3 linked regions of the Mus musculus genome follow. Each later gene encodes a partner of the first gene's protein in a complex. Links are inferred from orthologs where the notes say so. Each region holds a gene or a part of one and is shown in the gene's direction. Other genes may lie near its edges.

Evidence for each region. The genes of interacting proteins can lie anywhere in the genome.
Region 2: the proteins of Timm10b (region 1) and Timm10 are in contact, whole or in part, in a cryo-EM structure (PDB 7CGP), measured with the Homo sapiens proteins. The link is inferred for Mus musculus from reciprocal best matches to the Homo sapiens genes TIMM10B and TIMM10. Residues at the interface, in NP_036324.1 of Homo sapiens: Gln7, Leu11, Leu14, Arg15, Phe17, Leu18, Leu19, Tyr21, Asn22, Arg23, Met24, Thr25, Glu26, Cys28, Phe29, Val33, Pro34, Ser35, Leu36, His37, His38, Arg39, Leu41, Glu46, Leu49, His50, Ala53, Gly54, Ile57, His61; in NP_036588.1 of Homo sapiens: Ala6, Leu9, Leu13, Glu16, Met17, Asp20, Met21, Arg24, Ala28, Lys32, Cys50, Asp52, Arg53, Cys54, Ser56, Lys57, Tyr58, Asp60, Ile61, His62, Glu63, Arg64, Met65, Gly66, Lys68, Leu69, Leu72, Asp76.
Region 3: Timm10b (region 1) and Timm29 share a complex: the UniProt entries of both Homo sapiens proteins name them as parts of the TIM22 complex. The link is inferred for Mus musculus from reciprocal best matches to the Homo sapiens genes TIMM10B and TIMM29.

The regions. Positions count from the first base shown.
Region 1 is NC_000073.6:105,638,299-105,643,678, forward strand, and holds Timm10b (mitochondrial import inner membrane translocase subunit Tim10 B), read left to right. Parts: upstream 1-2,146; 5' UTR 2,147-2,294; coding exon 2,295-2,324; exon of another isoform or gene 2,325-2,377; intron 2,378-2,463; coding exon 2,464-2,559; coding exon of another isoform or gene 2,560-2,570; intron 2,571-2,729; coding exon 2,730-2,906; coding exon of another isoform or gene 2,907-2,930; 3' UTR 2,931-3,323; coding exon of another isoform or gene 3,324-3,364; 3' UTR 3,365-3,548; downstream 3,549-5,380. Other genes in the region: Arfip2 (arfaptin-2), read right to left, coding at 1-29, 711-807, 1,027-1,125. UniProt on the Homo sapiens protein: Component of the TIM22 complex, a complex that mediates the import and insertion of multi-pass transmembrane proteins into the mitochondrial inner membrane.
Region 2 is NC_000068.7:84,825,377-84,831,329, forward strand, and holds Timm10 (mitochondrial import inner membrane translocase subunit Tim10), read left to right. Parts: upstream 1-1,644; 5' UTR 1,645-1,771; intron 1,772-2,222; 5' UTR 2,223-2,266; coding exon 2,267-2,337; intron 2,338-4,413; coding exon 4,414-4,615; 3' UTR 4,616-4,837; downstream 4,838-5,953.
Region 3 is NC_000075.6:21,590,948-21,596,904, forward strand, and holds Timm29 (mitochondrial import inner membrane translocase subunit Tim29), read left to right. Parts: upstream 1-1,774; 5' UTR 1,775-2,011; coding exon 2,012-2,123; intron 2,124-2,202; coding exon 2,203-2,891; 3' UTR 2,892-5,023; downstream 5,024-5,957. Other genes in the region: protein YIPF2, read right to left, coding at 480-567, 953-1,033, 1,114-1,271, 1,581-1,611. UniProt on the Homo sapiens protein: Component of the TIM22 complex, a complex that mediates the import and insertion of multi-pass transmembrane proteins into the mitochondrial inner membrane.

The DNA.
Region 1 (5,380 bases):
CGTGCTGTGAGATGGATGTCGGCCAGACCCTAAAGGACCAAGTTCTCTGACACCAGTTTCTCTTAGATAAAACCATACACTTCTGTGGCTCACTCCTCCCCCCCACCCCCCCAAACACACGAAATGACCTCTCTGAAGAAGGACTATCTAGACAGACAACTGCATTCTTCTGGTCACTAGGGGGAACAAGGACTCATGTCCTGACAACCAAATCAATTCAATGTATGTATCTGGCATTCTTGGAGTAGGGTAGGAGTGTTGTTGGTGTACGAGATAAGCGGGAATAGAAGCAAACATGACATGTGCGATTGGCAGGATCAAAGATGGTGAACACAGAAAAACAGAGAAGTTGGCTTATATTTCTAGGTAGAATTCTAGCCAGTAAAAGAGTCTAAAATGAAACTCTGAGAAGCCTCACAAAGCTCCAAACTGGCCTTAAGCTCCTGAGTGCTCATAACCTTAAGGTCTTAACTTGGCTCAGATGGTGGCGGCAAGGAGGAGAAGACGAGTGAGATTATCTTCGAGACTGACTGGCCAGTGGGAGGCAGATGGGCAACTCTGGGAGCTGGCCTGGGACTGGACTGTCTATGAACTTCACACCAGCAGTTCGCAAGCTCTCCAGTCCAGGAGTCAAGCTTTCCTGTATGTGTCTATGTGCCTGCAAACTGTCTCAACACCCCACCCCTCAAGCCTATCTCTATCATTCATACCTGTGGGGATGAGTCCGTCACCAGAGCCCCCATAGCCACCAGACACAATGCTAGTTTCATTGAGGTTGGGTCCTGACACCATCACCTGCTGGAGGTCCTATAGGTCAGAGAAGAGGGGGGCACCTCAGGAACACAGGGATGGATGAAACATTTTGGGGACGGAGACAGTGCATAGTAAAGTCTGTACAGAACCATAAAGAAGATTTGAAAAGTATGAAGGAGTTTAGTTAACTGAAGGCTACCGGGACAGGGGAAATTAAAGGTTTATAAGTCAGGAATGTATAACAAAACAATGAGAAGAATCAAACAGAAGCACCTGCTCCAGCCCATCGTCTTCAGGAAGCTGCCCAGCTTCGCCATTTCCGTGGATGGGAATCTCCATTGTGGCTGCCTTCCCTAGAATCCCGTCCGTCATGGCTAGGGAAGGGACTGGAGTCAAGGTCTCCACCCCAGCACGCTGTAAAGCCCAACACAGACAATTCTGGAAACTGGCCAGCACTCCAGAACAAGGAGGCCTTCCCTGTGTTCTCAGAGGTTTCAGGGGTTGTCTTTGGGCTTGGGTGTCCTGGGATCAGCCACCACGGCTTTCCTTGAGTTTGTGTGTTTCTTCTCTTCTGAGGACATTATCTCTACAGATGCATGCATACCAAAGCCTCGGGTGTCTTCTCATAACCCCCCTACCTCGCCTTCAGTAACCATTCATGCATTCAGTCATTCAACAACTATCTAGTGAGTGTCTATTATGAGTGAGATACTGAGGCAATGGGATTATAGCAGTGAGGACCAGAGGGGAGGTCTATGCTCTCTGGGAACTTAACCCTGCAGAGGCAATGTTTACCAGAACCCTTTCCTAGGCTCAGACTCTCACTTGCCACTCAGGCATGCTCTACAATCCTGGTCTTTCACATTCTTTGGTGTTCCTTCCCCTCTTCCTTCAGCCGGTCTGGGCTCTTCCTTTCTCCATCTCATGCACCTGACTCCCTTAGGCCCTCCCCAGCAGGCCTTGGTTGAAGCAGTTAGTGAATGTTCCTGGTGTCAGGTGAAAGGCTCTCTTTCCCAGGACACGGGCAATCCCTTCCAAAGTCAGCTGAAGCCTCCCAGATGTGAGGGGCTCCCCCCACCCCCATACACCTGGGCATCAGGTGTGTCCTCATCCTTGCCAAGGGCTCAGGGCATTTTGCCCTCAGTACAGGTTCGTGCGTTCAACTTCCCTTCGTCCAAGTATGTCCTTCTCACCTGGGCCGGGCCGCTCTTCCCCTCAGGGCGCGAGGCCCGGACCGCGCGGGGACCTCGGGTTCCAGTTCTCGTCGCGATCCTAGCAGCAGGTCAGAGATTTGGCGGAAGTGACATGCTCTCTGGGCAGAAGAAGCCGGCCACGTCGCAGAGAAAAAGGGCGGAAGTGACGTTTGCAGTTGTGGGCAGGACGAGCCTGGAGCTACGCCTTCAAGCTCTTGGGGAGTAGTGAGAGTTTACTTCCGGGGCGACTCTGAGAGCTCTAACCTCCCCCCTCCGCCCCCCCAACCCCGCGCCACCCTGCCACCCCGCCACGGGCGGAAGTGACTAGGGCTGTGCGCCCTTGGCGTGATGGAGCAGCAGCAGCAGCAACTGAGAAACGTGAGTGAGAGCGCAGTTGCTCTCTGGGTTAGACGTGCAGTTTGTTTCCAGGGGTACACGCAAGAACCCGAGGGGGAGACGGGCTGTGCATCCCGGGGAGCCTTAGCGGTGGTGAAGTCGTGGTTCCCTTTTCTCTCAGTTGCGAGACTTCCTGTTGGTCTACAATCGGATGACAGAACTGTGTTTCCAGCGCTGTGTGCCCAGCCTGCACCACCGAGCTCTGGACGCTGAGGAGGTGGAGACAGTGTGGGGGTCCCAGAGTTGACAACGTGACGTGACACCCTCCCCCAGCCCCCCATCTTCTCCCTCTTTCTTGACCTCACTCCTAGGCTGGGGACCGGGAAGGAAGGAGGCGGGCTTGACTGGACCCCTTTTAGTTTCTACTTCCCTCCGTCTTCCTTCCAGGAGGCCTGCCTGCACAGCTGTGCTGGGAAACTCATCCATTCTAACCACCGCCTCATGGCCGCTTACGTGCACCTCATGCCCGCCCTGGTCCAGCGCCGCATCGCGGACTACGAGGCTGCCTCGGCCGCGCCAGGTATTCCTGCAGAACAGACCAGAGACTCGCCATCAGGCAGCTAGCCGTCCCTGGCCCCTGGAGAGAAGGTGCTTGGATGGGCTCCTCTATGGACCTTGGGCTTATCTAAATGTGTACAGAGAGATTGAGCTTGAAAGCTGGGTGCTGTTGCTCCTTTTCTTGGAGCCAATAAACCCGTTTTTACAGTCTGGTTATTTGTCTATGGGTACCAGCCTTTATTCTGTCATCTAGTGCATGTGTACTGCCTTTAGCCCTGGAGGTTGATGTAGTGCCTTCTTATGTGTAGAAGGACAAATTCAGCATTCCCAGCACCCCAGCAAAAGCAGGGATTATGGGTAGAGCTTTAAGGTTAGTAATAGCAATGGGAAATTGGTTCCAAAAGGAGAGCTCTCAGTGGCTGTCCTTGGGACTAACTCAAGGACCTGAATATACATTGACTCATAACTAGTTTTTATTTTCAGCTGTCAAAAAGAATTGCTGTGAACCTAGGGGAAGAAGGTAAAACCAAACAACAAAAGCAGGAAGAAAACTCTACCCCCTTAGGCTTTAGCCACTGCTTCCTAGGAGGTCAGTGACAACAGAACAAAGACAAGCCTCTAAGAATTCAGGAATGTTGACCATTTCCCCAATTTACTCTCTTAGTACTTCCTGCCTTTGTGAAATTAGCAATAAAGACTTTAAACAAAGAAGTGCTTTCTTGTCTTCAGAGTCAGTCAGGAAGGCAGCATTGGTCAAACCTCAGGAAGAGAACTCGAGGGAGAGGGAGATGGTGTTAGGGAGGGATGGTTAAATGCCATCTGTGCCCCTCCTCTTCGGGTTTGACTGCTTGTCTAATCTAGTTTCAGCTCTCTACCCTGTGCCTTACACTAGTCTCACTGTAACTGCTCTGATGCCAGCTTCTCTATTCTTGTTTCATTACTCCCCACCCCCTCTTGTGGGATTCACATGTGTATTCAGGAGGAGTCCTTTCCTGGCAGCTGCCGGTTCTGTGACTTCATTCCTAGTGTGGAGATGGGGAAGGAAGGAGGATGTGGCATGTACCACCTTGTGGGGCTTCAAGGATGACAGCCTGCAGGGCAAGCGACAGCATGGGGTCTGCATTTATTACTGTTTTACAGGAGATGGAGCACAAGTACTTGTGCTTGCCAGGCAAGAACTTTTTTTTTTTTTTTTTTTTTAATGTCAGGCTATAAACCATTCTTAGTGCTCAATGGCTTCTGGACACTGAGCATAGAAAGAGCCACTTGCTCTTTGCCCCAATGTCACAGGCAGGGCTGAGCAGCTAGGCCAGGTCTGTGGTGCTGATCTAGGACAGCATCTTCAGGGCAGCAGGCAGGAACTTGTAACAACTAAGCTCCCCACTTCCTCTTCACTGCTTCCCGTAATTCCATCCCATCCCTTCCCTTCCAGTATTGCATCAGGTGACCAGCTTTCTTTTTTCTTTTTTCTTTTTTTTAAACAGAGGAATTAAATTCCTCGTCAAAACCAACTATTCACAGAGCAGATTTGCAGAGCAGATTTGCTGTCCTACCCCCCACCTATAGGTCAGAAATAGGCATCTATTTATTTATTTATTTATTTATTTATTTATTTAGAGATGTGGTCTCATGTACCCAAGGCTGACCTGGAAATTGTAACTAAAGATGACCTTGAACTCCTGGTCCTTCTGCCTCTACCTCCCAAGTGTTGGCCAGCCAAAAAGTTGAAAATCTTAGTTGATTCCATATTGAGAGGCAGATCTTGCTCCAAGGCTTGTTATACATGCCTGTAATCCTTAACAGGGCAAGAATTGTAAGTTTGGAAGCAGTCTGCACTGTTAGATCAAGACTCTACCAATAAAGTGCAGCTGGAACATTAAGCCTGATATTCTTTGCACTACAGCAGGCTGTTTCTCTAAATCGTGTCTGTTGAGTTATTTTGTATAAATTTATCATACTTACTCCTTTTAATTGTGAAACTAGGAGGTATTATTTTTCACTAGACAGGTAAAGAAGCAAGAAAGCAGACCTTAGGAGAGCCCTGTCTTACACAGTTCTTGGAAAGCAGATTTTGGTGTGTCACTTTCCTTTCTTTTCCTTTCCTTTCCCTTTTCTCTTTTCTTTTCTTTTCTTTTCTTTTCTTTTCTTTTCTTTTTTTCATTTTCCTTTTAGGTGGTTTTGCCGTGGACCCATTGGCCTTCAGCTTGTGATCCTCCTGTCTCAGCCTCCTAGATCCTGGAATTACAGACACAGGCTACAACCTGTTGCTAGATAATTCTTTAGGCATATAAAACTTGCTGACCAGGAGCTTCCTTAAAGAATGACCTGACTACAAGATTAATCTTATTCCTTGACAAGTACACATGTGAGTAGAGCAGCTTGTGAACTTGTTAGTTCCCAAAACCAGGAAGGTGGAGACCCAGGATATTGTGTGGCTGCCGAGAAAGCGCTACGTCAGCACCTGTATGTATCCTTTCAATAAACATGTGCTGTGAGTTGTCTGTGTTTCCTTTCTTCCTATGTCACACATAATTAGTAAT
Region 2 (5,953 bases), on another chromosome or scaffold:
GGCTATGGACATGCTATGACCAGTTGCCTCCCATTCCTGCCACAATGCCTTCCTTGACGCAGTGGAATAGAGTGAACCAAAAGCCAAGGTAAGCCATTTGTCCTATAGTTTGCTCTTCTCAGGGGATGGATCACATCATGGAGAGAAGCAGTGCAGGGTCTTATAAGCTATTGAGAAGACTTTGGCTTTCTCCATGATGAGAAACTACTGCAGCATCTAGGGGGTGAGTGACATGATCCAGTTGTAGGGTTTTTTTTTGTTTGTTTGTTTGTTTGTTTGTTTTTTACATCACTCTGGTTGCTGCGAGAATCAGTTGTCCTTTGACCTCCTTTGATCCTACCATGGGCTCCTCCTCCTCCTTCTTCAATATATTTATTTTCTGTATCTATGAGTACACTGTAGCTCTGACACACCAGAAGAGGCACTGGATTCCATTACAGATGGTTGTGAGTCACCTTGTGGTTGCTGGGAATTGAACTCAAGACCTCTGGAACAGCAGTCAGTACTCTTAGCCACTGAGCCATCTCTCCAGCCCAAGGACACATGTTCTTATAAATAAATTTAAATTTAAAAATAGTATATCAAATGACCTGTGTAGTTCAGTTGTGGAGGGTTTGCATGAGACCCTGGATTCAACCTTCAGCACTGTGGAAGAGAGATGAAAAAAACATCACTATTAGCTGAGAATGTGAAAATAGCACTTTGGGAAAAAGACTTCATCTGCTAAAGATAATAGATCAAGAAAATGTGACTAAATAGTAAGAATTATTAAATCTTGGGGATAGATTCAATGACGTTCATTAGACTGTGTTCTGTGTTGTGAATTTGCCCTAATAAAATTTTAAAGGGATAAACCCAATGCTTTTTATTATTACATTTATTTATTTACTTACTTTATTTATTGTGCATGTGTAGGGCTATAATAAAGAAGTGCAGTAAAACATGTTGCAGCACTGGGGCAGTTGATAGAGTGCTTGCCTAAGCATGTGGTCCTGTTTTCATCCCAACATTGCAAAAGTCAGGCATAATGGCGCTTATCTGTAGCCGAAGCACTAGTGAGGTGGAGGCAGGTTCGTAAGTTCTAGGTCATCTTCGGCTACACCGCAAATTAGAGAGCAGCCTAGGTTCCATGGGACCCTGCCTCAAAAGCAAATAAAGACAATCTCTATACATGTTTCTTTTTTTCTGCGAGCAGCGATCGTGTATCTTCTCTGCAACTCCACTAGTTAATGTTGCACACTGCTCCCCGGGATTCTGATTTCAGGGGTATGAGGTAACGTCTGGGCGCTGAGGTGTTTTTTTTTTTTTTTTTTTTTTTTTTTTAAAGTGCTCCAGGTGTTTTAACATGCAAAATTGACAGGCTCCTTTGGGAAACGTTCTCCTTTCTTCACATAAGATCCGTCTGCGCTCTGGCGTGGGCTCTCCATGGTGGGTTCAGGGAGCCAAGCTTCTTCCACACTGCAAACGCTCAGGCGTCTCCCGGACAACCGGAGGGATGGAATGCTAACAAGGCTGCCGGCGCTCTGCCACTCACTCAGCATTCTATGGTACTTTGGAGTCCACTCTAGCAAATTAAGGTCGGTTTCTCTATGGTAGCCGGTTTCCCAGCGCAGCCTGGTCGGCGTTTTCTTCCGGATCAAAGAAGAGGCTAGACTTCCTTCCGGAAGTGACCCACGTGCTTCTTATTTCGCCTGCCTTGGTACCCGGTAACTTTTTACTATTGACCCGAAGTTGGGGACGTTGCGGGAGCTGTGACCTGCCCCAGGCCGTGGTGAGTGGGCCGTGGTGTCTGATACCCAGGGTAACCCTGATTCCTGATTATGCCATTGCCGTGACAGAGGCTCAGCCTTTAGACCCACCCCGGGAACCTAGGCTGTGGTTAGGGTCACATTCTCGGGGCTGCATGGGTTCAGACCCACGGTTTTGTGTGTTCCGTCCCAACTGTCAATCCTCTGGCTCTAGGAGTGATCTCGAGGTACTAAGAGGGCTCGGTTTCCATCCCCGAGCCCCATGACATCGCGAGTGACCTTGAGCTGGACACTGTCCTCTTTAAGGGCCTCATCTCCACTTCTGTTAAGAGGGCTGATTACGTTTACTGAGCGGGGTATTGGTCCCCGCTGGTCTGAAACACTGTAATTCCTCGCGCCCTCCAGCCCCCCCGGGGGGGTGGTACTAGGGTGAACCGGGAGGGATCGATGCTGACTGATCATGTCCGCTCCTAGGACTAAAGACCAGGAGGCTATTCTCTCCACGGTGCTAAGTTGACATGGATCCGCTCAGAGCCCAGCAGCTGGCTGCGGAGCTGGAGGTGGAGATGATGGCTGACATGTACAACAGGTAAAGAGAAGCACTCGGCTTCACCTTGTCTAGGAAAACTCGCCCTAGTCACCCCTAGCCCGACAGAGTGAAGCACTTGTAACGAATGCTTTCGATAAGGTAGTGGAGCCAAGTCCCGCCCTCCTAATCCCGCCCCACCCTCACCGCGTGCTTCGCTGAAGTAAATACAGGTCACTGGAAGGACTTGGTTGGCTATTTGGAGGGAATAAAAGGGGTGTATGATGGAGAATCTCCTGCCCAGGCTCTGCTGAGTATCAAGAACATATAAGCACTTTCTCTTCTCTTCTCTTCTCTTCTCTTCTCTTCTCTTCTCTTCTCTTCTCTTCTCTTCTCTTCTCTTCTCTTCTCTTCTCTCCTCGTTTCCATCTTTCTTTCTCCTTAGATAGCCCATTTACCCTTGTTTATGTAGTTTATGTATTTTGTGTTTGTTTATGAATGCCAACATGCATGCCATAGCGCCACACATGTGGAGGTCAGAGGGCAGCTTAATAGGATCTCATCTTGGATTGAACTCAAATCTTCTGGTTTGGCAGCAAGTGCCTTTGCCGCCTAAGCCTTCTGAACAGCCATTTAGTAATGAATAGTATTTAGTTGCTAATATTTATTAATGTTTTTCTTCCTTTTTGGGGGGGATGGAGTGGATGTTGTTTTGTTCTTGTTTTTCACGATGGGGCTTCTCTGTGTTGCCTTGGTTGTCAGCTTAATCTGTATAGACCAGGCTGGCCTCACTCTCAGAGATCCACCTGTCTCATTCTCTTGGGTGCTGGGATTAAAGGTGTGCACACTCGGCCTAAATTATACTTTAACTCTGTGTTAGGCATTTGCAAAGCATTTTATATATATTATCACTTTAAATTTATTTATTTGTTTGTTTACTTGTTTTCTGTGTATGGATGTTTTGCTTGCATGCCCGCAGAGGCCAGTAGAGGGCATCATATCTCCAGGAACTGGAGTCAAAGATAGTTGTGGGCTACCGTGTGGGTGCTGGGAACCTAACCTAGGTCCTCTGCAAGAGCAGTCAGTTCTCTTAACCACTTTCCAGGCCCCCATTATCAGTTTTGTAAATAGTTAAAAATAATTCAAAGGGAGAAGGGGATATAATAACGTAGGATTTTTGTCTAGAATGCAGGATGCCCTTGGTTTGATCTTGACATGGTGCCTATAATTTCAGCAGTTAGAGGCCAGAGACTAAATAGTTCAGGATCATTCTTGGCTATATAGTGGGTTCAAAACCAGCCTGGGATAGATGAGACCAGTCTCAAAAGAAAGAAAGGGAAGAAAGAAAGAAAATCAGTGGGTTAATTTTATTAGTACTATTTTAACACAGGGGAATTGAGGTGTCAAGGGGTTTAATAATCTCAGGGGCTGTAGCTGGTCAGTAGCAATGTCAGGACCAGAACTTCAGCCTGACTTCAAACTACTGCTTGTAGCCGTTTGGAAACATCTTGCTGCACCATCAGCAGCTGAGTGTCTTTAGGCTGAATGTCATAACTGGTTACTCATCAGTAAAACTGACCTAAGAAGCACTGCTCCCTCCATAAAGACATTGCAATATTAAACTGAAAGCCTCTAGCATTAGCACATCATACAGGAACCAGCAGGTATCTGCTGGTTTTCGACAGCAGCTCTCGGTAGGTTTGTCTTGGAGACTACAAATTGGAATGGTTTTTAAAATACAGACTGCGCAGTCAGACTACCTAGCTTTGTGTGACCCTCAGCTCTTACTGAGCTGTGTCTTAATTTCCTCGTCTGTAAAGTGGGGATAGTGATTGTGCCTGCCCCAGTGGGTTACTGTGAGGGTTGCATGACAGAACCTGTATTAGCCCTTAGCGTGACGCCTGGCACACAGCCGGTGTTCAGCAAGTGCTTCCTCTTTAACTAGTCTTGTACATGACTCAAAGAAGAGTCTTAGTTGGAAAAGCGTTCCAAGGTGGTTGAAGTGAAAACTGGGGGTTCCCGCTGTTTTCTTGACGGAGGGAACGAGGCAAGAATCAATGCAGCAGGGTTGGGCTTGTTGAAGGTGCCTGGGATGCTCCAGGAAGTCACTGATACAACCTTGTTCTTCTCTAATCCCAGAATGACCAGTGCCTGCCACCGGAAGTGCGTGCCTCCCCACTACAAGGAGGCAGAGCTGTCCAAAGGCGAGTCTGTGTGTCTGGACCGATGTGTATCCAAGTACTTGGACATCCATGAGAGGATGGGCAAAAAGTTGACAGAGCTGTCAATGCAGGATGAGGAGCTGATGAAGAGGGTACAGCAGAGCTCGGGGCCTGCATGACGCCCCAGGCTGTCTACACCTGAGGTGTACCTTGCCACTTGCCTGATTAAAGTGTCCCTAATGGATGTCACATGTGAAACCTGTCATACTTAGGCCCTTGAGCATCTCCAGGACCCCTGCGTGTAGTAGAGCTCTCCTGGCTGAAGAAGGGGACTTGTCACGCTGGTTTGTGACTGTGTATGTGTGTATATGTATATATCTTATTAAAACAAATTTGTGCAACGCAGTGTCTTTACTTGAGAGTAAAGAGTCATCCAAAAGTAGAGGGAATTTAATGCAGTGGGTCTTTCTATTTGTGGGGTTGGGGTTTTTTGTTTTGTTCTTAAGTACAGGATCTCACTCTGTAGACCAGTTTGTCCTCAAACTCACGGAGATCCACCTGCTTCTGCCTCTCAAGTGCTGGGATTCAGATGTGTGCCACCATGCTCAGCAAGTTGCTTGTATCTTGAGGTGAGGTTTTATTATGCAGCCCGGTCTGCTTCTGGCTTCAATCTCAGTCTTCCTGTGTCAGCCTCTAAATGCTGTGATTACAGGTGTGTACTCCCACCCCACCCCACCCTTTTTTTTTTTTCCGTTTTTTCAAGAGACGGTTTCTTTGTGTAGCCGAACTCAGAAATTCGCCTGTCTCTGCCTCGAAAGTGCTGGGATTAAAGGCGTGCGCCACCACGTCCGGCTCCCCCCCACCCCTTTTTTTAATTTTAAGATTTTATGTGTATAAGTACACTGTAGCTGTCTTCAGACACACCAGAAGAGGGTATCAGATCCTATTACAGATGATTGTGAACCACCTTGTGGTTGCTGGGAATTGAACTCAGGACCTCTGGAGCAGGAGTCAGTGCTCTTAACCACTAAGCCATCTTTCCAGCCCAATGGTTGTGTACCTTAACACAGTGCTTTAAGTCTATAGACCAGTGGGACTGGTAGGTTTGTGCTTAGAGTTTGATGCTTGCTGTGTGACTCTGAATGTGCTACATCTCTGTGATATAGTAGAGTGACTTGGTATAGGAAGCACTAAGTATCTTTTAAAGCTGGATAGTAAGTGGAGGCAAGCAGGCCATTTCTCCACATCAAAAAGGAGCGATTTAGAGGATGTGACAGTGGATAGGATTTTGTGAGCAAGTAGCCACTCTGCTCCAGGTGTTACTAGATAGCTATAGTACTGTCAAGATGGGATGTGGGTCAGCCATCCTGGAAAGCAATCTAGGCCGGGACCTGAGTGGGGACGTCACCATCTGTGTTTTCCTGATTGAGACTGTTCCCCAGTCACTGTTCAGTGTATGAGAGCGCCCACCCACCCAGGTAAAGGTATAGTTAGGAAACAGGTTCAGAGAGGCAGCT
Region 3 (5,957 bases), on another chromosome or scaffold:
TTCGTCATAGCCTCCAATGTCACGTCTGTGCCTGCCTGCTCTTGTTGGCTTCTATCCTCACTTTCCAGAGCCAGAGGAAATCCCAAAAAGATCTCAGTAAGATCCCTTCTCACCACTCTGGGACCTGTGTACTCACCCCTGCTCATGGCCTTCCTGCTCCTCCGTCTACTGCACTGATCTATGCTGCCATACAGTTCAATTGTTTCCACCATGGGACCTAGAGGCTTTCTGGGTCCTCTTCTAAGCCTCTCACCACCAATGTTAGCATAACTCATTTGCCTACCCTAGTCAGGGACCTTCATGACTTCCCTAACACCCTCTGAGTTAGCCAGACCTACCCACCTTCTGCTTTCCATCTTGGTGCCTCCCTCAACTAAACACGAGTTTTGCTCTTCATGCATGACTGCCCATTTCAGGGCCTGGTACAGTCCCATGTTTAAGTAAATACTACATTGATTCAAACATAAACCCCCATTTACCATATAGGTCGGGACGGTTTCTAAGATGGTGCCGCACAAAGTTGTGGCCAGGATGGGGCAGCAGGGAGCCTTTGATCCTGTCCAAGACCTGGAAAGCAAAGCCCAGGGTCTAGAATGAGAATCCTGGTGTTCTGAGAGGTGTCAGCACATCCTACTGAACAAGCTCGAACATGTCACCACTGTGAAGGTGGATTTCAGGCCTGTCACCTTGCTTTCAGCTTCTTGCAGCCTCTCCTCTCAAAGTAAGGACAGTCCCTAAGTTCTGGATGGTCTTGCAACTACATCTCCAGGATGTACCCTCTCACTGGACCTGGTCTATCATTAGAGGTTGGCTTGACTGGGAAACATTCTGGCTTTAAGTCACACACCTATCCACGCCTACTTTGTAACCTAGCTTTTGCCTTCCAGCCCCACCATACCCATTCAGTCCTCAAGTATAGTGGCTGGACTCCAAGCAACTCCAAGTGCCTTACCTGGGAGGTATCCACATCAAAAAAGCTCTGATAGTAGTCAAATGTCCAGAATCTGGGCTGTGGTTTTTCTTCCTGTAGAAGCTATAAGACAAAAGACTCAGAACTTGCCTGCTCAGCCAGGGTAAGAACAGAGGCAGATCATCGGGGCCTAGGAGACTCACTGATGTCTTGTCATCCTCTTCCTCCCCTACTTCAGCTCCATAGCCAATGCCTGAACCCACAACCACAGCCACGTGCTCTCGGGAGGTCAGCTCATCACTTTGGCTAGTAGTAGCTGCATCTGGGGTCTCTGCCAGAAGATTTGTGGCTTCCTCGAACTCTACGGAGAGGGAATATGGGCATAGGTGTTTGGAATCTGAAAATTCCTTTCATCAACTGGGGCTATGGCTGCCTTACCGCCGTCCCCTAAGGGCTGAGTTTCTTCAGTTTTGATGCATGGATAGGTCTGTCTACTAAGATGGGATTCAATTTAGGTCCTGTGCAGAATTGGACGCTGTGATGTGCCTTTTGAGTTCATGGAAGAAGCAGGAATTGAGTGCAAGATAAACCTGAGGTCTGGGTCCCAGCTGCCTGGGGTTCTAGCTTAGGACTGAGGTAGGAGCTCTGACCACTTCCGGGCTCCACTCACCGTGGAAGGCCAGTTCGTCAGCTGCTGCCATGACTCTTTAGAGGCGTCACCGCATCGCACTCTGTGGACAGAACCGCATCAATCCCACAGCCCTCCCCAAGACTGATGCTTCCGTCTGGACTCCTGCATGGAGCCTAATACACGGAATGGAACTTCAGCTCCAAGCTGGGTCCCTTCAGATGCACCCCACCTTCCTCACCTGAGCCTACCTAAGCTGGCGTGGCTATTGCTCTATGCGCGTGCGCGCCGCTCGACTTCCCTTCAGAGCCCACCCTTCTCCACACAACGGCAACATCCGTTTAGGTCCGTTTCCTATTGTCTTCCTGTGGGAAACTACTTCCTGTATCTTGCGCTTGCGCAGGATCTACTCTCCGGCCTTTTTCATTCCGACACTATGCGTTTCTACTCGGCTGAGGAACCGCAGGGAGACGATGGTGACAGCGGCTCTTAAGAGATTCTGGTCCGGTGGGCACGGTGAAGCGGGAGGAGAGGCCGGTGGTGCCACGACGGTGGCGGTTAAGCCAGGGCTGTGGACGCGACTGAGTGAGTAGTGGCAGAAGGCTGCAGGGTGGGTGGCTCGAGTGGTCGAGTCCTTGTCACCGCAGCTCTTTTTTCCCCTCAGGCACCTGGGCCGGCGCGCTGCTCCGGGACTACGCTGAGGCGTGCGGGGACGCGGCGGCTGCGGCGCGAGCTCGACCGGGCCGCGCGGCCCTGTACGTGGGGCTTCTGGGCGGCGCGGCTGCGTGCTGCGCGCTGGCGCCCAGTGAGGCGGCCTTCGAGGAGGCCTTGCTGGACGCATCGGGGTCACTGTTGCTCTTGGCACCGGCCACGCGCAACCGCCACTCGGAGGCGTTCCTGCAGCGCCTGCTGTGGCTGAGGGGCCGTGGGCGGCTGCGTCACGTGAACCTGGGCTTTTGCTCGCTGGTTTACGAAGCGCCCTTCGACGCCCAGGCCAGCCTCTACCAGGCCCGCTGCCGCTACCTGCAGCCACGCTGGGTGGACTTCCCCGGCCGGATCCTCGACGTGGGTTTCGTTGGCCGCTGGTGGATTCTGCAGAATCGCATGCATGATTGCGACATCAACGACGACGAGTTTCTCCATCTGCCCGCTCATCTCCGCGTCGTCGCGCCTCACCAGCTGCACTCAGAGGCCAATGAGAGGCTGTTCGAGGAGAAGTACAAGCCGATCATACTCACCGACGATCAGGTGGATCAGGCGCTGTGGGAGGAGCAGGTGTTACAGAAGGAGAGAAAGGATCGGCTAGCTTTGAGCGAGGCTGATTCACTGGTTCAGTCCGATGTTTCCAGATGAAACCCAGGATTGCCCCCGGGTCACCAGGCGCAGGCAAACTGTTGGCTGTGGATGGTGCAATTGGTGAGATGGGTAGAGATAAATGGCCCTTATTGTGATTTTATGGGAAGTCCTCACTCTGTCCGGTTAGCCGAAGAAACTTGGGGGCCTTACTGGTCTTAGAGATACAGAAGAGCTGAAGGACTGCTCTTAAACATGCTGAAGCACTTGACCTTACTGTGTTAATTGCCCCCAGATCTACTAGTAAGGAGCCTGTGCTGTGTAGCCTGTTGTAGCTGGGGATGTTCTTCACGGGTAGAGTGTTTGCCTAGCATGCCTGGGTTCCTGCACTGCCAAAACAGAACAGAAATGGGCTTTTAGTCTTGGGGGTTTTGTTTATTTGGTTCGTTTTTGAGAATGTGACTCCCATATGCCCAGTCTGGCCCTGACTCCTGCATTAGCTCTAGTGCACCACAGAGTACCCCGCCCATGCATTAGTCCTGTTCATGAACGGGGCTACAAAGATGTCCTGACTGCCAGTGACTTCCAAGATCCTAAGACCAATCCCCCAGCCCCCCTTTTGGTAGTGTGTATCAGTGAAGTTTTTTGAGGATAATGGTCTGGCCGTGTTGCCAAGGCTACTTGTTTAAAGAGTCCCGACTGTTCCTCCCTTCGGAGAACCTCGACTCAGTTCTCAGCAGCTTGATCTGTAACTCCAGGCCAGCGAATCAATCCAGCCTTCTCTTCTGGATTCCTTGTACACCAGGCAGGCACGTGGTGGTGCACAGACAAAACACCCACGCACATATGTTTAAAGATTCTCCTAAGTCATCCCCCAAGATCGGGACTAAAATCATGTGCCAGCTTGCCTGACCTCAGATCTCTCCTTTTCAGGTGGAGCTGAAATGTATGTGTTTAGGGTTTTTGTTTGTTGTGGATTTTGGTTTGTTTGTTACACTGGCTTCCCCAGAACTGGCTATGAAGAACAATCTGTCCTTAAACTCACAGAGATTTGTCTGCGTCTCAAATTGGATTGTTTTGGTTTGATTTGTTTCTGAGAGTGGTCTCACAGCCCAGACCAGCCTCAAACTCACTGTGTAGCAATGGATGAGTGAGTGATGGCTCCTCTTGCCTGCATTTCCCAAATGAAGTGAAATATTTCTGCCCTGTGGATTGTTATTGTTGGGTACTTGTGCTAGACATTAAATCCAGGGCCTTGTACATATGAGGCAAGCCCTGTACACCAAGTCCTTTTAGGCTCTTTGTTTTGTTTGATAATATCTTTATGTAGTCCCCAAGGACCTTTGACCTAGCTTAACTAGTAACGTTGTATGTTACTATCAGTACAGGAGAGAGGTATAGAGGCCGACAAATTCTACTGTATATATGTATGGCAGCAATTGCAAGCATGGTGGAAGGCTGGAACATGTTCTCATCCCAGAGTGTACATGCAGTCATATGTCCTGTACTGCAGGGACCCCGGAAATGGTTGGATGGAAAGGAACAGGGTGGGGAACATAGGTTGGACCTGGCAAAATTCCAGTAATTACCTTTCAAGCTAAAATATTAGGGAAGCAAAACTTCCCATATCAGGTAGCTTGTAGCTAGTCGGTAAAAGCAGGGGGTGAAGCAGTCACTTTGTGATGGATTTGTTTATGGTGGGGGCTTCAGACAGACAAAGTATGTGCTGCACTGAGCTACCCCCACTCCTAGTGGTGTGATTGTGTGTTTTGCCTCCTTTATTCATTATCAGATGTATTGAAAGTATGGTAGTTGTTTTTGATTGTTTTTTTCAGTAATACTCCGAAGTGGGAGGATTAAAGGCATGTGCCACCGCCTCCTGGGTAAGGTAGTTCTTGAATTCAAGTCTTCTGGCCAGGTGATGATGTTAATTCACATCTTCCCGCACTGGTGAGGTGGCTCAGCAGGGGAAGACATGTTCAGTCAAGGCAACCACCTGAGTCCATCCTATGGAACCCACACAATAGAAAGAGCTAACTCCTCCGATTTGCACTGTGACCTACATGTATACTAAATAAATTAAAATGTAATATGGGTTGCAAAAAAAATCCACATCTGAATTACAAATGTTTTAATTAGTGTGTATTAAAGGATTTTCTTATGTGTGTATGAAATAGTCTTATTCACCCTCCATTACTGTTTCTTGCAATCCACTCCTAGTTCCATGTTTCCTCTCTTCCCAATTAGCACCAACGTGTGTGTGTGTGTGTGAGAGAGAGAGAGAGAGAGAGAGAGAGAGAGAGAGAGAGAGAATATGTCTCAATATGTAATCCTGTAATCTTGGGCTGGCCTAGATCAGACTGGCCCTGAACTAACCTAGAACTATTGTGTGTGGATTTAAACAACCTCATGGAAACCTTTCCAGGGACTGACTATACCACTAAGGAATTTTCTCTCCTTCCTTCTTTCCTTCCCTCTCTCCCTCCGTCCCTCCCTTCCTTCTTTACTTTAGCAACTATTACTGACACACAAATCCCTGAAATGGGGAGGAGCCTTCCAGTCTTGTGGAGATCCTGTACAGGTGATCACAAAGTACAACAGCTAGGGGCTGTAAGAAGGCCAAGTTCAAAGACACTTTATTGCATAAAATCCGAGGGCCTGAATCTGATCTTCAAGACTCACTTGATGGAAGGATAAAATTAATTCCAGCAGATTATTTTCTGACCTCCATACACATGGGTGTGAGCATGTTCATGTACACAATGTGCAAATATTTTTTTTTTTCAAGACAGGGTTTCTCTGTGTAGCCCTGGCTATCCTGGAACTCACTTTGTAGACCAGGCTGGCCTTGAACTCAGAAATCTGCCTGCCTCTGCCTCCCAAGTGCTGGGGTTGAAGGCGTGCACCACCACGCCTGGCGCAAATAATTTTTAAGTACAACAGTGGGATCATGCTTGAAAGTTAGAGTTTCATACTACTCTCCACTTCTTTTTTTTTTGTTTTTGTTTTGTTTTTCGAGATGGTTTCTCTGTGTAGCCCTGGCTGTCCTGGAACTCACTCTGTAGACCAGGCTGGCCTCGAACTCAGAAATCCACCTGCCTCTGCCTCCCGAGTGCTGGGATTAAA